Linked DNA regions of Astyanax mexicanus. The protein of the gene in region 1 purifies or fractionates together with the protein of each later gene. This does not show direct contact. Links are inferred from orthologs where the notes say so. Each region holds a gene or a part of one and is shown on either strand. Other genes may lie near its edges.

The links.
Region 2: the proteins of copb2 (region 1) and cope purify together in Homo sapiens (affinity purification with mass spectrometry; 4 studies listed by BioGRID and IntAct, with this or other methods). This does not show direct contact. The link is inferred for Astyanax mexicanus from reciprocal best matches to the Homo sapiens genes COPB2 and COPE.
Region 3: the proteins of copb2 (region 1) and copz1 fractionate together in Homo sapiens (co-fractionation; 6 studies listed by BioGRID and IntAct, with this or other methods). This does not show direct contact. The link is inferred for Astyanax mexicanus from reciprocal best matches to the Homo sapiens genes COPB2 and COPZ1.

Annotation. Positions count from the first base shown.
Region 1 is NC_064415.1:52,356,171-52,363,414, reverse strand, and holds the start of copb2 (coatomer subunit beta'), read left to right. Parts: upstream 1-4,076; 5' UTR 4,077-4,228; coding exon 4,229-4,231; intron 4,232-6,190; coding exon 6,191-6,328; intron 6,329-6,499; coding exon 6,500-6,586; intron 6,587-6,739; coding exon 6,740-6,866; intron 6,867-7,244. Other genes in the region: rbp2b (retinol-binding protein 2b), read left to right, coding at 1,877-1,978, 2,471-2,524. UniProt on the Homo sapiens protein: The coatomer is a cytosolic protein complex that binds to dilysine motifs and reversibly associates with Golgi non-clathrin-coated vesicles, which further mediate biosynthetic protein transport from the ER, via the Golgi up to the trans Golgi network.
Region 2 is NC_064415.1:56,240,535-56,248,564, reverse strand, and holds the start of cope (coatomer subunit epsilon), read left to right. Parts: upstream 1-4,958; 5' UTR 4,959-4,998; coding exon 4,999-5,100; intron 5,101-5,555; coding exon 5,556-5,618; intron 5,619-6,783; coding exon 6,784-6,884; intron 6,885-7,001; coding exon 7,002-7,154; intron 7,155-7,239; coding exon 7,240-7,293; intron 7,294-7,993; coding exon 7,994-8,030. Other genes in the region: slc25a24l (solute carrier family 25 member 24, like), read left to right, coding at 776-887, 1,098-1,256, 1,676-1,813, 2,157-2,264, 2,899-3,066, 3,285-3,423, 3,731-3,915. UniProt on the Homo sapiens protein: The coatomer is a cytosolic protein complex that binds to dilysine motifs and reversibly associates with Golgi non-clathrin-coated vesicles, which further mediate biosynthetic protein transport from the ER, via the Golgi up to the trans Golgi network.
Region 3 is NC_064420.1:853,321-861,069, reverse strand, and holds the start of copz1 (coatomer subunit zeta-1), read left to right. Parts: upstream 1-4,677; 5' UTR 4,678-4,766; coding exon 4,767-4,784; intron 4,785-5,747; coding exon 5,748-5,816; intron 5,817-6,902; coding exon 6,903-6,984; intron 6,985-7,082; coding exon 7,083-7,174; intron 7,175-7,278; coding exon 7,279-7,334; intron 7,335-7,749. UniProt on the Homo sapiens protein: The coatomer is a cytosolic protein complex that binds to dilysine motifs and reversibly associates with Golgi non-clathrin-coated vesicles, which further mediate biosynthetic protein transport from the ER, via the Golgi up to the trans Golgi network.

The DNA of each region.
Region 1 (7,244 bases):
ATCAAGACTCACTCACCGAGACAAAAGTACACTAGGCAGTGATTTATAAGACTCATTTTCAAAGCACTGGATGGGCCAAAAGCGAATAGATTAAACACTCATTTCAAGAATTCACCACATACCGTTTAAATGACATTTAGTCCCAGGGAATTTGGTTTGATCTGATAAAATACTGCTCTAAAATGATGATCTGGCTTCTCTAAGGCCAGATATTGTAAAATTCCCTTGGAATAGCACTTAAAATGTTCTGCATTGTAGCTTAATACTAAAGTCATCCAAACTATGAAGAAAAACATATGGAATTATTTAGTAAACCAAAAAGAAAGGGTCAAACAAACCACAATATGTTTCATATTTTAGATTAATTTTTGCTTAGATAACAGCTTTGCACATCTTGTCTGGATTTTCTCAGTCAGCTTTATGAGGTAGAGTCACCTGTAATTCAAGCTTTCAGTTAACAGCTGTGCTGAACTTGTCAAGAGTTAATTACTTTAATTTCTTGTCCTCTTAATGTGTTTGAGAGCATCAGTTGTAAAGTTGTGAAGAGGTAGAGTTACAGGTATACAGTGAATAGCTCTATTTAGGCTATGTTCTAATTAATATTATGGCAAGATCTACTCAACTAAGTAAAGAAAAAATACTTGAAGAAATGAAGGTTAGTCACGGAACATCAAAAACGAACATCAAAACCAGCCTTAGAAACCACAAGTTAACAGCTCCCCAGATATGAGACACCTAAATGCTTGACAGTTTGTTTAACACTTTTGAGTAATTACATGATAAATTATGTGTTCCTTCTTACTCTAGATGACTTCAGCATTTTCTTAAAGCTCTGTTTTTCCTGTTCACACAACACTAAAAAAAAAGTTTTAAAATCTCCACCAAGCTTAGTTTTCCATCAAAAACAGCATCTTCATGTGGTTGGGAGGCCAAACTGCAGAAATAATTAAGAAACTCAAGAAGTACATGTGGACATGGCTTTAAATACCTCCTCATGTTGTACCTTTAAACTCATTCACACTATTTCTACACTGCGTCTAAGCAAGCATAATAAGCTAGATAACTAGATTTGTGTCAGTCCTGTTACTGTCTGTCCGCCTGCCACAGACTCTGGTTCTCTCAATAAAGACTCCATTTCCCAGGATACACCTGTGTCGTCATCCTTCTAGTTAGTTCACGTGTCTTTCCCCAGTATAAATAGCCCTTGTTTTTCCTATTCTAATCTATTCCCATAGGTAACTTCACATTTCTTTTGTGCATGACTGTATGTTACCAACCCTTTTTGTATCTCTGACCATCCTTTTTCGCAAAGCCTTTTGTTGTTTAGTTAGCCTACTCGTTGCCTACCTGTTTTGTTTATTTGACCACCCTTTTGCCTTGCCCTTTTAATTATATACTGGATTTCCTGTGTATGATCTCCTTGTCTACTCACTCTGGTATGCTGTTTGTTTACACTGTCCTTTGGTTACTGATCCTGCCTGTCCCTGATTATTCTTATAAGTGCAACCTCTTATTTAATAAATTGTGTGTTTGGTATCACTTACGGATAAAAGTCAATATTGTTACAAATATATAATGAATTTCTTTAATCCATGATTTGGAGTCACATTCAGACACATATACAGTCAGAATCTCTTTATAGTTGGGGGCAGGACAACAGAGAGACAAACTTACATATTGGATTATTAAAGAAAGGCCAAGAACTGATTGAACCATTGCTATGCCTATCCATGCCCACAGTCTCATTGTGTTTGACTGTACAGATCAGACTTCACCGGAGCCAAAGCCTCTGTGTTTGAGGAGACGTAGCTCAGTGTGAATGAGAGAGGGCAGGAACAGGCCACGGCACTGTTGACTGACGAGCTTGTCTTTACAGACTCTGATCACCTGGGAGGGCGAGGAATTGGTGTGTATACAAAAGGGTGAGAAGGCCAACCGTGGATGGAAGCACTGGCTAGAGGGAGATAAACTGCACTTGGTGAGCCTCCAATTGCTTTGTTTTACAGGGTAACATTTAATTGCACATTTAAATCGTTCAAATCAACTAACCAAGCACTGACTATATATAGTAAAGTAATACTGGATAGGACCTGCCTTCACATTGAAAACAGCTTTAGTATTTTGTAGCACGAATTCCATAAGATGTTGAAGGCATTGCATTGAGATTCGGGTCCATGGTCACATGACTGAATCATGCAATTGTATTTAATGCAGCGAATCTCATGTTCTTCCAAATCACAAAAATGTTTTACTGGATTCAGATCCACAGAATAGAAAAGGCCTCTAAAAACACTCATTCAGTACATTTTAGTATTCCAGATATTTTTGGTAGAAATGAGATGATCAAAGACGAAAAAAATAACCATTCATACTGTTATCAGGGAAAAAAAAAGTTGTATATTACATATTATGTTATTTTGCATTCTCACACTAACATACTACATTTCCTTTTTATCATTTATGATCGCAGGAGCTGTACTGTGAAGATGTTGTTTGTCATCAAGTGTTCAAGAAACAGGGTTAGTGTTCACTCTCTGTGCTCACTAAAAAAATGATAAATGTAAAATAACTGTATTGGCAATTTATATCAATAAAGAAACCACAAAATAAAAACACAAATGGATTTGTATGTGTGTTTTACATGTATTTTTCAACAAGACAATAACTAAGACTAACTTGTCATTAGTTATTAATTGCTTGAATTTCTTACCTCTTAATGTGTTTGAGAGCATCAGTTGTAAAGTTGTGAAGAGGTAGAGTTGGTATACAGTAAATAGCCCTATTTGAGTAACGTTCTAATCCATATTATAGCAAGAACAATTCAACTATTCAAGTAAAGAAAATAAATTGACTTTGCTTTGAATAAAGGTCAGTTAATCTAAAAAAAATTAAAACTTTGAAAGTATCCTTAAATGCAGTCGAAAAACCATCAAACATGTTATGATGAAACTGGCTCTCATCAGGACTGCCCCAGTCAAAAGTTTGGACACACATTCATTTTCATAATTCATTTTCTACATTGTAGATTAATATTAAAGACATCAAAGCAATTAAGGGACACATATAGAATTACGTAGTAAACAGCAAAAGAAGTGTTTGTCCTCCACAATCCCCTGATGTAAACCTGATCAACCGAGATGGGTGACCTCCAGGAACTCCTTCAAGATGCTGAGAAAACTATTCCAGAAGACTCTACCTCATAAAGTCACTGAGATTAAAATACCAAAAGAAGTTAAATGTGGCTACTTAGAAGAATCTAAAGTGAAGTATTAAACATATTTAGGTTTGTTTAAGACTTTATGTTTACTATACAATTTCACATGCATTCCTGTATAGCTTTGATGAAGTTTATTATCCCTTTCAGACCTGGATTATCCACAGTGATGGAAAAAAAAATGTAAGAATGCTGTTTTTTGTCTGTAGAGCACAGAAAAGAAGACTACTCTACTAATTTTCTACTAAATTTAACAGCAAATAAATAAAATTAACTACAATATATATATATTTTTTTTACATTGTATTGAAAGACTGTGTGTAGTATTGTATATCTCATATTGACCTTTTTTATTTCATAAATCATCCCTAAATAATTAAAAAAGCATAAGTAAAAAAGTGATTAAATAAGTAAAATGAGCTGTTTCTTTGCCTCAATGGGTCTAGTAGTATTTTTTCCTGTTTCATTGGTTTATAAATGTTTTAATTGGCTGGCTCATGATCTATTCTGATGAACAACAGCTCTCAAATATTTTGAACAATTTAACATTTTGACAGACAGACAGACAGACAGATAGATAGATGCTTTATTGATCCCAGATGGAAATACTCCACACTCAGTAGCAGGTATACATAGTACACAGACGTTTCAAAACAGAAAGTAGAGTCTTATAGAAAGTAGAGTCTTTTAGTTGGTATGTAATGGAGGTAGTGTGGTTAAATTATGCCCACTGTAATGGATACAGGGTCTGAAAGGGTTAAATTCATCCTTTACCATTCAGAGTTGTGCAGGACTGTAGTTTCTGCTCTGGATCTCCTCAGTCCTCCATGTGTCGCGTCATCGGCTCCCACCACACGTTTGAGGAAGTTCCACGTCAGATGAGAGTGTGTGTATCTTACTGTGTGTGTGTGTGAGGGAGTGTGTGTGTCCAGCTGGAGCTTTAGTGAGCTGCGGATACAGCAGCAGCAGCAGATCTGCGATTAGAAAGAGCGAAAACCCACTAAAAGCAGCAGAATGGTGAGTACAGCAGCTCCGCTCCGGTTAAGTTATACACAGCGCGTTGATGCAGTCTGTCAGAGCGCAGATCTCCCGCAGCTGAGTTTAGCTTTAGGTTTAGTTAGCGATGCTAAGCTAGCGGAGCTAAAGGCCACATACACAGACTGAGCAACGTAGCGTAAACGCTAGCCAAGTTAGCTAAGATAGTTAGCTGACCATGTATTCAGTCTGTGAACGAAATAATGCTATAATTTGGGCGTTTTCCTTTTTAAAAACGTACTAATAACAACTTCAAAGGCTTCAATTTGTAACCTAACTGTCTTTTCGGCTGTGAACCTGGTTAAACAACGAATTTGAAGCTAGTTAGCTTCAATGCTAATTCCAATATTTATCCCATTGAACGCAAGCTAGCTGGCTGCCCGGCTAACTAGCATTAGCTCGCTAGCTATCTCTCACAGTTAGCTTTAATAATTAGCTAGCGTTAGCTCTCTGAGTCCAGATGTTGAAGTTTTGTGATGTTGAGACGATTAACTATAAATATGAAGTTATTTAGTGAGCTAATTAAACTGCAGGTTGCCGTGATATTAAATATTGAGCTGCAGAGTTAGCTTAGCTTGCTAAAGTCAAAGCTAACCCGACTAAACTAGCTTAAGAGAAGCTGAGAGAGTTGACATTAATGACGTGGTGGTTTGCTAAGCTAGCTAACATCTAAACTATTTAAACTAACTATTAACTTAATGTTTTAACGTTGTATTTGTAAAAACGTATAGTTTGCAAACTATATACAGCTCTGGAAAAAATTGAAACCACTTAAGTTGCCGAATTAGTTTCTCTGATTTTTCTATTTATAGTTATATGTTTAAGTGAAATTAACATTGTTGTTTTATTCTATAAATATAAGTTACTGTCATTTAGAGCATTTTGCAGAAAATAAGATATGGCTGAAATAACAAAAACGATGCAGAAAAAACAGGTTCATATTCATAAAGTTTTAGAAGTTCAGAAATCAAAATCTGGCGAAATTACCCTGTTTTTTTAATCACAGTTTTTATGCATCTTGGCATGTTCTCCTCCACCAGTTTTACACACTGCTTTTTAATGCCACTCCTGGTGCAAATATTCAATCAGTTCAGCTTGGTTTGTTGGCTTGTGATTATCCGTCTTCCTCTTGAGGTTTTCAATTTGGTAAAATCAAAGAAACTCACCATTATAAAGAGGTCTCTCATTTTTTCCCAGAGCTGCATGTAAGCAGGTTATATTTAACTAAACTAGTTAACCTTTCTTAAGTGTTCATTTTTTCCATGTTTTAACATTTCGCCATAGGGTAATAACACAATAATAACGTAGAGAGAGGCTATATTTCATTACATGTATCAATACATGTATCCTATTCTATACTGCTCCTATCGAAATACATGTTTCTGTCATATCCACAGTAAGCATATTGAGGTTATCACCAGTACTTAAAGAACACTGACCCAACAGCTTTTTCATGCAGAGTATAGTGATTCTTATTTAATTTGTGCTGAACATTATTCCATTAAACATGATTTATTACACGTTGTAATGAAAAGTACAGTTGGGTCGGTGTTCTTTAAGTACAGGTAATAACCTTAAAATGTGTATTGTTGATATGGTAAAAAAAAAAAGGTGTCATGATACGATAAGCTATCAATATGTTGTCCATCTCTAACAGTGGTTATATGTGCCTAGCTATGGAGGTGTTGGCAGTCTGATCATATTGGTATTGCACTGGTCACAAATAATCCATGATAGAGCTGGACAATATGTTGTTAGTTTATCATATTGTGAGACCTTTTCTTATGATATCGTTTGTAAGCATTTTGGGGTATAAGAACACTTCATGTCATATGTGTTTAGAAAAGCATATTGTTTATAATGGTAAAAACTGTCCTCTTTATTCTTTCATTCTTAATATATTTGTGTTAACAACTGGGTGAACAATTTTCCCCCTTGTAGCCTCTGAGGCTGGACATCAAGCGCAAGCTCACGGCTCGGTCCGACCGTGTCAAGAGCGTGGACCTTCATCCCACGGAGCCATGGATGCTGGCCAGTCTGTACAACGGCAGCGTCTGCGTCTGGAACCATGAAACACAAGTAAGTGTCGAACCTCTTTGTGTAGACAGTTTATTTACAAACTGCAAACTGTAAAGATTCTGCTTTATGTTATTCAAGTCTGACCTCAGTCTGACCAAGTCTGATTTCAGTAGTTTAGAGAAAAAAATATTGAACTGTTTTAATATAAAGTTTTCTCTGATTGTTTTGTAGACCTTGGTGAAGACGTTTGAAGTGTGCGACCTGCCAGTACGAGCCTCAAAGTTTGTGGCCAGGAAAAACTGGGTTATCACTGGAGCAGTAAGTAGTAGCTGTGTTTAGTTGTGATAATAATATGTTCATTAAATACATGCATATATCATCTATTGCTTATGAATCAATATTCATTATATCAGGCATGATGTTTTCTTGGACCTGGTGTGAATTGCTTTTTTTCTGCCCTCTGTCTTTTAGGATGATATGCAGATTCGGGTTTTCAACTACAACACACTAGAACGGGTCCATATGTTCGAGGCTCATTCGGATTATATCCGCTGCATTGCTGTGCACCCCACCCAGCCCTACATCCTTACTAGTAGTGGTATGTACAGGTTTACTTTCACATGTTCTATATGTACAGAGATTTTAATGATGGCATCAGTCTACACAGATTTAGACCAGTTTTGACTGATTGATGATTTTGTCAGAGCTGATTCATTTTTTTTGGCATATCCTACAACATTTTTCTTGATATTGACCAATCAGAGGATGAAGTGCTGTTACATATGTAAAAATAAGGAAGAAAAAGAGAGAAAGAAACTATTGCTACCGTTTTCCTTACTAGTATGTTTTACTTTTCCATTTCCAAGTACAAAGAATTTTTTTCCCAGTCATTTCTCACCTAGACCTTCTGTTTACATACACTGAAGCTGGTAGCTGTAGCTATATTCATATAATATTACTGTATTTAAGGTAATAC
Region 2 (8,030 bases), about 3.9 Mb from region 1:
TAAGACCTGCTGCTACTGGTTATGCTGAATGCATCCAAACCCCCTGATTTAATAATCGTGATGATCATGGTCTTTTCAGAGGGAATAGACCTACTGGGAATGAAACATTTTCCCACTGATATTTACTGAAGGAGGAGGAAGGAGGAAAAGCCTTATTTGCTTTAACAGAAAGGCCAGGATCATCACTGCATGCTTTATACCCACTAACTTTAGATACTGATACTCTGTATCTAAGCTGCGCTGTTTGGCTTGTAAGCGCTGCATTATTGCTAGGATACCTGTATGTGGCGGAGTCATACATGGAGTGCTTCGGTTACAGTGCATTACTGGCTGATAATGATAACTCACAGAACATCTCTCAGCCAATCACATTGCAGGGTCGGAACTAACTGTGGTAAAATATAAAGTAAAAGATATTTATATGTATATATACAGCTCTGGACAAAATAAGAGACCATTTCATTTGAAAACAATGAGTTTCTTTGATTTTACCAAGTTGAAAACCTCTTGAATTTTTTTTGCACCAGGAGTTAAGGCATAAAGTTATCCAAAATCAGTGTGTAAGACTGGTGGAGGAGAACATGCCAAGATGCATGAAATTTGCCTTTTTTTCTTTTTTACAATTGCTAATTAACATTTTAATTGGCTACATATACTTTATATATCATCATCATGTACATCATATGATCATATTGCTGTCTGTACTGCTGGGATTGGGTATAAACAGAGATGGTTCTCTGTTAACTCTGTTAATTCTTTTTCTGTTCATTATTAGGATGGATGAGGACAGCTCCATGACTGTGGATTGGGGGGAATTCCTGCAACATGTGATCATCAACCCAGCAGAAAATATCAGAGAGCTTATATCCTCATGGAAGCACACACTGGTAAAGAGCACACTTATTACTGCCTGGACTTGTAATCCAATAAAAAAGAACCCTGTCATACTATAGCATATATATGATAAATAAAATTTGTAATGCATAAAACAGTTCTACTTAAGATTTACTTATCAGTTAATTTAGTATAAATTTACTATTACTATTTAATTACAGAATTCCTAAATCATCACCTTTCCTTGCTGCTTCCATCTGCAGGTGTTTGACGTTGGTGAGAGTCGATCCATGCCTATAGAGCTCACTCAGGCGGAGACGGATCTGTCCGAGTGGAGGAACTTCATCCTGGCTGCAGGTCTGTCTGACGCTGTTTCCAGAACTGTGACGGCTCCCATTGACCGATTAAAGACTCAGCTACAGGTATTTCAGCTCAAACAAGCTGAGATGTTTACAATAAAGTAAAAAAAAGTTTCCTCTATCTATATTTATCATGCATTCTTTATTCCGGCACCCCACGTTGTTTTTTTTAATCTCCCCTCAAACATAGAAATATACACCAGTATTTTAATTGAGACCACTAAAACTAAATATAATTGCATTTTACATGTTTTACATTCATTCTTTTATTTACATTTAAATATCCACTGTAAAACTTGCCCCTTAAGAAGAACAAATGCGATTAATCACAGCTAATCACAGAATATTGTTGTGATTAATCTGATTACATTTTCTAGTTGATTGACAGATTTTTTAAATCTTTTTTTATAATATTTAAACTGTGGACAACTTTGTTCAGCTTTTATAGATGTTTTATAGATGTTCCTTCCCTTGTTTTCTAGGTTTATGGCTCCAAGGCTGTGTCTTTGGGTTTGCAAGATCTGAGAACTGGAGGCTTGAGGTCCATGTGGCAGGGAAATGCTGTTAATGTGCTTAAAGGAACACCACAGTCCACACTGCAGTGTTTCCTGTATACCCAGGTGTATAAATATAACCTTGTTTCACATGTTCCATCTTTTTATACTGAGTTAAAATCACTCTCTAGTTATTAAAATATACCTATCAATCTATACACTGTCAGACTGTAGAAACTACTGGAAATCAACACTGTAATATATTATCTCTGCAAAAGTGTCTAATAGGTAATAGATAATTATTATTGTCAAACACGCATAAAACTCATTTTTGAATTGAATCACTTAATGATCTACACTTTAAGCTGCAGATTCATACTGGAATAAAATCACAGGTCTTGTTTATAATCACATTAATTAGAGCAGTTCCCAATCAAATCCTACAAACTGCTTTCTGTCTGTTTCCCAGATGAGGAAGCAGACCCTGGGCGAGAGAGATCACCTGTCTGTGGAGCAGCGTTTCGGACTGGGCTGTGTGTCTGGAGCTGTAGCACACGCAGCATTTTACCCCCTAGAGGTATCACAGATACATCACAGGTCTGAGCACTCCCAGGAAGCTTTCTCCTTTCTGTGCAAATGATATAAAACACATTATAACCACCATCTTTACTGAAATGTTTTATCGTTGTTTGACCAAGATTGAGGCAAAATGTGCTGCGTCTCGTCTCTTTCTCAGAGTTCAGACAGATTGTGGCTACAAATATAACCATATAAAACTCAGTTCAGTTAAAAATAAAATTAAGATGAGTAAAGACATGTGAAGTTAATTAATTATTAGCAAATAGTTTGAGGTTTTGGTGTGTGAAACTAATGTCAGTTAGTCGTTAGCTCTATCCGTTCTAGTGTTAAAGACAGTGAACAGCTGGTGTGCATGGATACTGCTGAACATGTTCCAGTCTGGTTGTATACTACTGTCAGTAAATAGTGGGAGGAGCCCCCTTAAGGTGGATTCTGAAAAAAGTGTTGTTGTTCTTTCCTGTATTGACCATCACAGAATTTAAACGGCCTCTTACACAGTTCACAACTAGTTTTTGTCTGGGGGCCAGCAGAAGTCTTTGCTCATTTGAGTTAAAAGGTAGGTTTGGTTCTACTAGAAACAAAAAGTCATTAAGACCAGTAACTGGACTGTGTTTTCTGCTTCTCAATCGCAGGTTCTGAAGGTGAGGCTGAATCTGCAGCAGGCCGGTAACTACAGCGGACTCCTGGGATGTGCAAAGTCCATTTACAGCAACGAGTCTGTGACAGCTTTCTACAGAGGTTTCAGACCAAGTCTGCTCTGCATGATCCCATATGCTGGAGTGGAGTGTGCTGTTCATCAGGTAAATCAAACCAGGGGCCATATTCATAATAATATATGATCATACGTTATGCTAAGGCCTATACTGATAGCCTCAATGTGTTCACAGGGTTAATTTGTGCCTTTATTAATATATACTCTTACCATCTGCTGCCCCTACTGTACATGAACATGCTTAAACATACTTAACTACAACAGTTATAAGAAAAATAGCTCATACCTCATCGTTTGTCCTAACAGTCGATAATGAGCTGGGCCAGACGAAACCCTGCCAACCGCAGTGACATCAAACTGCTGTTCTTCAGCTTTGTGGCGTTCGCGTGTGGACAGGCCAGCAGCTACCCTCTGGCCGTCATTAGAACCCAGCATCAAGCGCAAGGTGAGGGGTATAAAACAGTGGGGCTTTTTATAATTACTGATACTGTGCTGCCGAACAAACCAGAAAAAACATTTTACCCTACTAAATTTTTTGTATGCCTAATTATTGCCTTATTAATCATTACGAAATAATATATTATATAATCATTTTTGTAAAATAAGTGATGTAATGCAGCTCTTATGAAATACAGTATGCTTCTTATTAATTACTGAATTATTACATCAGTTATTATATATAATAATATATAATATTTTAGACTATTTTATTGTCAATATAACTGTTATATTGTTACATGTCTCTCTTCCAGCTTTTACATCAAACTGCCAGAATTCCTCACATATATTTCATGGACTGGTTGGGATCTATGAGAAGAACGGGCTGAGAGGTTTCTACAGTGGGATGGGGGCTAGTTTTGTGCGGGCCGTCCCGTGTGCTCTGCTAAATTACACCCTCATCTCTAAACTGGAAGAACTGCTTTCCACACATCTATGATGAGCAATAAAATCCCTGTATAGACAAACACCTGATGTGTCTTTAGCCTGTGTTTGTGGGTCTGTGTGCTTTCAAGAGTTGTTCAGCTGAACAGAACTGATTTTTTAAACTTTTACTTTTTGCACAATTAAACAACAGGAGTGTTCATGAGAAATGGTAAGCTTATACTTACCGGTTCTGTGGTTGTAGCCCCGCCTACTGTGGGAAAAAGTGGGAAATGAATCAATGAATAGTAAATCACCAGCAGATAGCGCTAATCTTTCTTTGTATTTCCCTTTTATGTTGACACTTAAAGCGCCACTCACTCTACAAACTAAATCACAAACTGTTACTTTGCTATTGATTTTTCCATTTTGTGTTTTTATTTTAATTGTCAGACATGCAGCCTATTGCAAGGAAAAATAAATAAAAATGTTACCAGTGCATTTAGATTTTAGTTTTGCCATTTATTATGCAGTTCATCAAGAAAAGGAAAGGCCAAAGTGAAGCTTTTATTTTTCACAATAAGCTTGTAAATTAAAATTAAAAAGGCAAAATTTAATTAATAAAAGTAATTTTTATTTTATTTTTGTATTTTATTTTTTTTTCTAATATTTTCACACATGTTTGGAAAAAAAGAAAGCGCAAAACAGTATTTGCGTTTTAATTTGAGTATTTTTACTTCAGTCTTATTTTTAGCAGGATTTGCCTTCCATAACAGTTTAAGTGCACTATTATTATATATTTAAATACACTATTTATCAGAAGGGCCTGGATGAGAAAGAATCTAGTTGCAGTCTTGCAAGATTACCAGTTTTTGTAAAATCTTAGTCTGTGACTAAAATGTCTGTGACTTGTCTTTAGATGTGAAAGAGTGTCAGATTTTAGTCTATTAAAGTCTTTTTAGAGTCTTTTTAAATTCCTCTAGTGTTTGTAGTTAGCTTTAGTGTTTCTAATAAAATGAATGGATGAGTGCGAGTGAGATTGACAGACTCGTCAGCCAATGAGAAATAAGACCGTCGCTCGTCGCCCCGCCCACTCTTCCTGCAGCCGACCTGGATGATGTGGCCGCTGAAGTGACGTGTACTGGTGTTCAGAAGCATCATGGCGGCGCAGCAGGGAGAAGTGGACGAGTTATTCGACGTGAAAAACGCCTTTTATATCGGCAGCTATCAGCACTGTATTAATGAAGCTCAGAAAGTGAAGGTATGAGGAGATTCTACAGCGCTTTTACTGGGTTTACAGGGGAGCAGGGCTTCAGTTAGAGGCGGGTTTAGGGAGGCTGTCAGCCGGCTAACTGCTGTTAGCTTAGCTTAGCATAGAAAACAACACCAGTCAGCTGCTGCTGCTTTACTGTATATATTTATATATACTTTATGTATACTTTACCATATATATTTTACAGGGAACGTTATAAATGTTTCAGATATTTGAGCTGTAAATGGCCATATGGACTGTCTGTTAGCTGTTTCTAATGTTACCTTTTGAGAAGTGTTGTTTATACAGGAATTTATACTTTTGTGCTCATTGTACTCATTATTTTACAAAACTAACTTATTACTTGACCCACATCTGTTAGTGTAATTTACTCCACAGTTAGATTCTCAGGCCTCGATTCTCTGTTTATGCCCCACTGTAATGCTCATATATCGATTTTACAGGCTTCAGGACCAGACAAGGAGTTGGAGAAGGACATTTTCCTCTACAGGGCGTACATAGCACAGGTAGGTTATGTTAGTTACACGCCATGCAGCTCCACTTTTTTCTTGTCTATTGCTTTTTTTTTTATTATTTGCATCATATAGCCCAATATGTGCACCAGTAAGACCTGTCCCTGGTGAAAATAAATTAACTGCTCAGTAGGGATTGGTGTTATATTTTTTTTAAAGACTATACTACAGCAGCAAAATAAATATTAAATTGTATTAAGTTAGACCCTTAATTGATATAAAATAAAAATATTGTAAAATAATAAATAACATAAATAAACAACAAAAATATTTAACAAAATTAGTGCAGCATAAATATTTGTTGCATTAAAGGCAAGCAAACAAAAAAATAAAAGTGTGCGATACATATGACATACTCCTACTGTCCAGCTGAACTGGTTTGCTTTTGTGTGTTTTGTGTGTGATGGTTGAGCTGGTTTACCAGAAAGGCTGGCTTCACCTTGCTGGTTGTTAGCATACCTGTTGATTGACCAGTATGATAAGCTCGTTCAATTGGGTTATGCTCCATTAGACCCAATAAAAATATAAGGTATGCTTTAGTAGGCTAATCTAAACTAGTCCCTCAGTTGGTCTCACATCATATCCACTGTGAATTTTCCTCATGCCTTATTTACTTCAAAATAAACACAGTAAAACAGAGTTAGTGTTAAAGTAACAATGTGGGTGTTAAAATGTAAATTTTGTTAATTTACTACAGACAAATTTGCTTTGCAAGTGTGACTAACAAAGCCTTGAAAGTCTACCTTGACCAGCTAATCCATAAAATAAAAACATACACCATGCTGGTCAATAGCTAAGCTAGTCAACTAGCTAGTTTAATAGTATGACTGTCCTGATGAGGCTAATCATCCTGTACAGCCAAACTGGCAGACCAATATGTCTAATGAACAGACTAGTTAGCTTGGATGGTCATGCTGATGGTCCAGCTCAACCTCTTGACCTCAACTGGTCGGCGCATTTGACCAGACACACAAAAAAAAAAGACTCAAATGTATGTCATGCTGGTCAGGAGCTAAACTGTGCAACCAGATCACATTTGGAACATTTGCATGTATTTATACAGGTCGACCAACACTTCAACCACCATGACCAGTGAAAACCAGCGTAGACCATCTAAAACCAGAATATTTAAAGTGATATTTGTTGTTTTTTCCTGCAGAGAAAGTATGGAGTGGTGCTGGATGACATAAAGCAGAGTTCCTCTGAGGATCTGAAAGCTGTCCGTATGTTTGCAGACTATCTGTCTAATGAGGGCAAAAGGTCAGCACCCAGAATGTGATTTACTGAAACCCATCATAATGAATGTACATGTTAATCCCTTATTATTTATGCTTTATATTAAAACACACTTTTTCTTTGTAATAAAACTGTGTGCAGGGATTCAATCGTGGCTGAGCTGGATAAGAAGATGAGTCAAAGTGTGGACGTCTCAAACACCACCTTCCTGCTGATGGCCGCCTCCATCTACCTGCACGAGATGAACACAGACGCTGCCCTGCGAACACTTCACCAGGGAGAGAGCCTCGAGTGGTCAGTGCGGTGAAGAATCCAACATTTGATTCAGCTTTGTCTTGTTTTATTTATTTATTTAGATTTTTTTGTTTCTTTGTTTTAGCATGGCGATGACCGTCCAGGTACTTCTGAAGCTGGACAGAGTTGACATGGCAAGGTATGCTGTGATGTTTTCTTTGTGTGGTGTGTGAAAGAATGTTGGGCTGTGCAATATGGATGTGATTCATAATTAAGTTTGTTTAAAACAAATTTACATATTAATTATATGTTAAGTATCAGCTTCTGTTATTTGGCACATTGACTGTAATGAAGTAAAGCATAAGTTATATTCAGCTCCCTGACTGTAGGGGGAGCCCAGGGATAAAAATGACATATTCTTGTATAATACTGATTTAAGCAATTACAAAAATACAATATTAGGAAAAACAGGCATCTTGTTCAACACGTGAGCCAGGTTTCAACCAATCCTGCACTGTGGGTGGGACAAAGAGGCTTGTAATTAGCTGTATTTGACAAGTCATGCTTATTTTGACCAATCCTGTAAGGATATAGAATAAACATTTAACCACAAGAGTAAAAATGTTTTCATTTATATATATATATATGTCTTTTTTTATTGAAATGCCATTAAAGATTATTATTACAGATACTACATTTTGTTGTTCTTCACAAATGGTGTAAAATGGGTTTCTTATTCATTATATTGTACATCTGTTTGGGAACTCTTTACATAATGACAACACCAGTGCAATTAAGCCCAGTGTTTTTATCCCTGAATTTGATTTAGTGGTTTTTAGTGGGCAGAAGTGAAAGTTCACACCTGCTGTTGCTCATGTGTTGATTTGTTAACTGTGTAGGAAAGAGCTAAAGAAGATGCAGGAACAGGATGAAGAT
Region 3 (7,749 bases), on another chromosome or scaffold:
ATGCAACAGAAAATTTGAATAAAAAAAATATGTGATGGTAAGTTGCACTACAGTGTGGACAATTTTACCAAAAAAAGGCCTTTTCATGAAATCATGGTTTACTTAGTTACTAAGTTACAGATACTTTAAATTGTTCAGGGTGAGCTTGTTCTGTTTTAAATATGAGAAATATGAGGTGAATTTAATATGATTAATAGCTGAACATGCAGAAAGTGTCTTTATTCCCTAGAAAAATATATATATATTATTTTTTTAAATGGAAATAGCTAATTTAAATTATTATATTTTAAATATTTAATTTTTTTTAAAGGATAACATAGTATTCCTCTATATGTGTATTAATACTAATTCAGAGTACATCCTAATACTTACTGCTACGGCTTAAAAATGATGAGTTTCTTTGATTTTACCAAATTAAAAACCTCTGGAATATAATCAAGAGGAAGATGGATGATCACAAACCATCAAACCACCAAACTGAACTGCTTGAATTTTTACACCAGGAGTAAAGCAGCATAAAGTTATCCAAAAGCAGTGTGTAAGACTGGTGGAGGAGGAGAACATGATGCCAAGATGCATAAAAAAATGTGATTAAAAACCAGGATTATTCCACCAAATATTGATTTCTCTTTCTTTGGAATTTGGGAGACATGTTGTCTGTAGTTTATAGAATAAAACAACAATGTTCATTTTACTCAAACATAAACCTATAAATAGCAAAATCAGAGAAACTGATTCAGAAACTGAAGTGCTCTCTTCATTTTTTCCAGAGCTGTATATTATTTTATATTGATATTAACCTCACTATTAAAAATATAAATGCATGTGCACTCTTGACAGTGATGCTGCGACGTGTATCAGAAAGATAGTTTATCGCTTCATCAGGCACATCCAGCTCGTATTGTGTCCTCTACAGCACTAAAGGATGATTTCGAAATGCACTTCGCGGTAACCTTGTGAAAACCCAGAGCTGGATTGTGAAACGCGCTGGTGAGCCGCTCTGCTGCTGCCAGAGGCTTTAGAACAATCTCCACAGACTTCTCCTAAAACCCTACTAACACAATTAAAACTGTGTACAGGGTGGAAATGCTGTATTCTCTCACTCTCACTTCTAAAATAATACCTTCCTGCAGGAAGTTTCAGGAGTTCTTCTATTTAAAACTGTGGAGGAACTCCTTAACCCTTTCAGACCCTGTATTTACTTTATTTTACAATTTTAACTCCTTTATTCCACAGCTACTTATTAATGCTGTTTAATTTAGGGTGTAAGTCGATGGATATAACATCAATGTTCTGTATATATTTTGTTTGTTTGTACTGCTACAGAGGCACACTGCTCAGCCCAGTCAGATCTCCCTCCTGCCCCGCCCCTAAACCCATACATCACCCACTGCCTCTTCCAAATAACCCATACACACATACTTGAGCATTTTTATGAATGGTGGATAAGGGTATCCACACAAGATGATCTCTCAGGTTCTAAAGCTTAGAAAAGATAAAAAAAAAAGTAATTTTTTGTGTGGTATAGTTTACATTTTATAATGTTTTATAGATACTCTAGTTAGCTATATAGTTTCAGGGGAAGGTCAGAAAATATGCAAATATAAAGTTTGAAGATCTAGAAAAAATAGTTTACAGTATTTATTTTTCAGTAAGAAACTTATTTTCCTTCCTCCAGACTCCCTTGATTTACTTTAAATGAAATGTAAAATTTACTGATGATCAGTGATGGTTTGTTTGGAGAGTCATGTCTGTCATCTGCTGGTGTTGATCCACTGTGTTTTATTATCAAGTCTAAAGTCAGTGCAGTTTTGTTTTCCCACAAAATCTTACAGCACTTCATATCTTACAGCTTCCCTCTGCTGATAACAACTTTTATGAAGGTGTGGATTTCATTTTCCAGCAGGACTTGGCACACTGCCCACACTGCCAAACAAAAGTACCAATTGGTCTTATTATATTGATTGACACTGATTTTGGGTTTTTTTATTGGCTGTAAGCTTCATAATCATCATAATCATCAATAATAAAATAAATAAATTATTAAAATAGATCACTCTGTTTAATACATGTATATAATATATGAGTTTCACATTTTCAACTGAATTACTGAAATAAAGCAACTTTTCAAAGATATTCTAATTTTTTTAGATGGTCCTGTACATACCCAGGTAACTCCTCTAAAGTTTAACACTGTTTATTTTGCTGTGCATGTTTGTAACTGTGAATAAATGAAAAACAATCCCTAAAATAAAGTTAACATGTTAAATACACAACTCTACAGTCTGGTTTTCCTGATATGGTATAAATGACCCTCTGCAGGCCTGGGAGCAGATCTTGGACGCCGTGTTTGAAACCAAAAGGGCTGAGAGCAGGAGCTGAGAGGACTCTGATGTCAGTGTGTGTGCAGGAGGAGTGAGCAGGGAAAATCCCCTCGGAGCTCGGGTTTTCACAGTGGTGCTTCCCAGAAGAAGTGACCAGACCCGTGCCATGAGGACGATGACGGCCGCCTGTAGGAGGATCTGTTAAATTAAAGCAGACGTATCATAAGCTGTTTACTGTTTTACAGAAGACTCGTGTCATTGAGGCCTGTGCCTCATAAAACTAACCTCAAATCACTGGATTACGACCCAAATTAAAACCAAATTAGATCAGACACTCATGGTGGTGCTATTTAAAGAGATCGGCCCACAAAAGCACTCGGAAGTACATTAAATAAGATTGTGGAGATATTGTTTTAAATAACAATTCAAAAATAGTTTTACATTTTTTAAACTTCAAATACAATACAGCCATGTTGAGTAATTCATCGCAGTAAAATACTGTAAATATATACATTAAGTTAAACCCTTGTGAAAAAATTGTGTATTTAAATATAATAATAGTGTCCTTAAACTACAGATCAGAACTACAGAAAAAACACCAATTCAGTTTCTGAATCAGTTTCTCTGATTTTACTATTTATAGGTTTATATTTGAGTAAAATGAACATTGTTGTTTTATTCTATAAACTACAGACAACATTTCTCCCAAATTCCAAATAAAAATATTCTTATTTAGAGCATTTATTTACAGAAAATGAAAATTCAGAAATCAATATTTGGTGGAATAACCCTGGTTGGTTTTTAATCACAGTTTTTTTTTTTTTTCATGCATCTCAGCATCATGTTCTCCTCCACCAGTCTTACACACTGCTTTTGGATAACTTTATGCTGCTTTACTCCTGGTGTAAAAATTCAAGCAGTTCAGTTTGGTGGTTTGATGGTTTGTGATCATCCATCTTCCTCTTGATTATATTCCAGAGGTTTTCAATTTGGTAAAATCATAGAAAATCATCATTTTTAAGTGCTTTCTTATTTTTTCCAGAGCTGTATGTGTACATGGTGAATATGGTGAAGAAGAGAATAGGCAGTATATGGATGAGCTGTAATTGACAGGGGAAGGTCAGATACTGGTTGGCTCCTCTACAGACCTCAGTGCATGACAACGCCTGTGCAGAAACATTCCAGTAAATACTGAGGGTACTGTAGGCAAGGAAGTGGGCCTATTTTTGTGATAGAATGGCCTATTGGTTTTGAATTCAGCATGACAAAATGGAAAGTTTCAATAAAGGCAAGACAGGCTGGAATCCAGGCTCAGTTATACACAGCGGCACAGGAAGGTCAGGAGTGCACTGAACACAGTAACGTTCAGACTAGAACTCTGGGATTTATTTAATGAAGATTTAAATAGGTAAATAAACTAAAGAAAATGTATGCAAATGTGTAACTTTACCCTTGTAAATAAATTAAGTATCCTTAAGAGCATTAAATGTATGTTCAGATTAGGCTCTGCATTTTCTATTTAATATACCTTCTCTGTATTTCCATAAAATGCATTTTTTAAGCAATATGCTTTAAATTAAATGTTGTGTTGAAAAAAAAATGTTTAGTGGCATTAATTACTGTGCACTATAGTTTATAGTTTTTTTTTTCAAGTTGTATAAAGTGTATTTACAATATACATTAAGTGTATTGAACATGATGTTTAAAAAAACACAAGCTATAAATCTACTTAAGTTCACAGAAGTTATACAAAAAAGCACTCAAAAGCACAACCTAATGCTTTTATGTTGTATTTAAATATATTTTAATTGCAATTGAAATATATTTAAGTTGCCATAAGTTGTTCCAAAATAGTACATTTAGTGTGTATTTAAATACATATTAATATATATATATATATATATATATATATATATATATATATATATATATATATATATATATGTATATATATATATTTTTTTTCTTTTACAAGGGTAACCACATTAAGGATGATCAAACCAAACCAAATAATAGCCTTTAATATTATGACATTAATCTCATAATATTAAGATTTTATTCTCTTAATATTACAACTTTAATCTCATAATATTACAAGTTCATTCTCGTAATACTATAATTTTAATCTTGTAATATTACTACTTTTATCTAGTAATGCTACGATTTTAACCTTACCGCAATATTACTACTTTATTCTCGTAATATAATGACTTTAATCTCGTAATATTTTACAGATTTATGTTTGTAGTACTTTAATCTCGTAATATTACAAACTTATTATGACTTTAATCTTGAAGTGTACTGTTTTCATACGCCATCGTATTAGGGATATTTTGGACGGACCTGTATTTTGAAGTGAAACGCAAGGTCACTTCCGGTTCAGTCACAGCCGGAAGTGGACAGCACTGGGATCGGCAGGAGCTCCGCTGATTAACCGCGAGGATGGAGCCGCTAATACTGGTATAATTATTACAATACTGTATTTATTAATATTATCTGAGCTGTATTATCTCTTACTGTGAGAACTGGAGCTTCAGCAATCGCTGCTGTGGAGTTTAATATTAATAATAACAGTGTTTTACTACAACAGCAGCAGCAGAGCTAACTAACTAGCTTTTACTGATTATCCTCTAAAAAACACCCAAAATAACTTTATAAAAGTATTATTCTCTCTTTCTTAACCTTCACTGATAATCCTCTAATTCTAAAACCCCAAAACTTAGTTTTTACACTTATTATTCTCTCTTTCTGAAGCTTTACTGAGAGGAAAGCTTTATTTTCTTAAATGCACACACATTTTTTTTTTTTTAAAGCTGTTTTGAGGCAGACATGCTAACATTAGTTAGCTTAGCTAGTTTAAAGCCGTTTGCATCCATATCTAGTTAATTATCTATGTGTGCTTATATTACTAAAAATCTGTAATTAGTATTTTTAGCTTGGAAGTTAGGGTAAATATAATGAGTGTATAAAACTTATGCTCCTTATTGACTTTTATATAAGTTGAATACATGGACTGGGTATTAAATAATTAAATAAAAAAACTAACTTTTTATTTAAAGTGAGGAAAACATTGTTTTCTATGAGATTTGCTCTTTAAAATTCATAATAAAGAAAATTTGTTGACTGTGACAGTATTGCCATTTTACTTTCTTAAATCTGGATTTAATTTTCACAATTTTGCAGATAGAATCTTTAATCTGTAATGCATAAACGCTAATTATTTTCTATGCGTTTTCTATCAATTATTCTTACTTTTCTAAAATATTGTTTCATGTTTCACTTTAATTTTATTTAACATTCCTGCTGCCTAATTCTCAGCACAACCTTTGCCTGTTAATACGTTGGTGTACGCGAGTGTAGATTAGATTAACTCATAAATCTGTTTACTGATTAACTCGCGTGATTCATGTGCTGCTGTTTCAGGAGCCCTCTCTGTACACCGTAAAAGCAGTTCTTATCATGGACAATGATGGAGAAAGACTCTATGCTAAGGTAAGATAAATAATAATAGTAATAATACTCCAGTCCTCACTCCTTTCTGATTGTATTTATTTTTTTTTTGGCTCGGGACCGCCCACAGGCAGCATGCAGTTCATTCCTGTGTTGTTTGTGCGAATAACACATCAGTGTTTTATATACTTTACCCAGTAATTCAGAGCTAAGAAACAAATGGTTAGAATTAGTCTATGGAGGAAAAAACACCACCAGCCAAGTACAATTGAGAGGTGTTTAGAACAGTTCTGTTTACACTAGTTAAAAGTAAAATTCCCTGATGGATTTTTACTTTCCGGACCTGGACTCTGTTATCCACCTCTGTGTGTAAGTAACTATAGGTTTAAATAGGATCTCCGGTGGATTTGGTGTTTTACAGAGACTAAGACTAGGTCAGTGGCTGAACTGCACTTAGCAGGGCATTATTACACATGTTTTAAAGTAACATGTGACATTGTAAAGACGTTTCTAACTGTTGTCCGATGCACTTTGCCAATCAGAGGTGATGTTTGCATGTATGAATATTCATAAGCAAGGGCTGTAATCCTATCGTTCTTTTCCCGCCCACTCTTCCACCGGACTAAAGCAGTGTTATACCGGATCACCGGAGCACTTTTTTTTTTTTTCCACAAAAAATAGCTCACATGGTATTCATTCATACTAGAGACACAAGAAATGAAATAACGATGTAATGAGACCTTTTAACTAATTTGGAGATTTTTTTTAAGGTAATCACTTAATTGTTTGCACTGGATTTTATCATTTTATTTTATATGGGATAAAGGGATAAACATGATTTCAGATTTTTATTTGATTAAAATTGTGAAGTAATTTTTAGTCCACTTTACAATTATGTGCTACTTGTTGTGTTGCTCTTTCACTTAAAATCTCAATAAAATAGCTTACTTTATTTATTTTGTATGGTTTGTTGTTGTTGGGTAACAAAATGTGAATACATTCAAGGGTATACACACTTTAGAAATTCAAGAAACTGTAAATCTGAGTAACAGAGCTGTTTTAAAGGATTGTGATGGTTTTATCTGTACGTTTTATTTATAACGTCTCTCTGATTAACCTCTGTTTCAGTATTATGACGACACCTACCCCACAGTTAAAGAACAAAAGGCCTTTGAGAAGAACATCTTCAACAAGACGCACAGAACAGACAGTAAGACAGTTTTTTTACGTTTATTTACTACACGGTTTATTTGTTCTGAAGTTTTCACAGTTTTATAATTATCTTGATTTGATTTTTCTCTTTAACAGGTGAAATCGCTCTGCTTGAAGGCCTTACTGTTGTTTATAAGAGCAACATAGATCTGTACTTCTATGTAATCGGGAGCTCACATGAGAACGAGGTAACAGCTCAAACCTGATTCTTTTAGCTTAAACTTATTCTTATTTATTTGTCTAATAAACACATCAATCAGTTTATTAATTTGTATTAAATTTTTCCATACAGCTGATGCTCATGTCAGTGCTGAACTGCCTGTTTGACTCCTTGAGTCAGATGTTGAGGTATGAAATAATTCTCTGTGATATACAGCTCTGGGAAAAAAAAAAAAATTTTCACTTAAAAATGATGAGTTTCTTTGATTTTACCAAATTAAAAACCTCTGGAATATAATCAAGAGGAAGATGGATGATCACAAACCATCAAACCACCAAACTGAACTGCTTGAATTTTTACACCAGGAGTAAAGCAGCATAAAGTTATCCAAAAGCAGTGTGTAAGACTGGTGGAGGAGAACATGATGCCAAGATGCATGAAATTAAAACTGTGATTAAAAACCAACCAGGATTATTCCACCAAATATTAATTTCTGAACTTTTATTTAAAACTTTATGAATATGATTTTATTTTTTTGCATTATTACCATATTTGTGTAAATAAATGCTCTAAATGAGAATATTTTTATTTGTAATTTGGGAG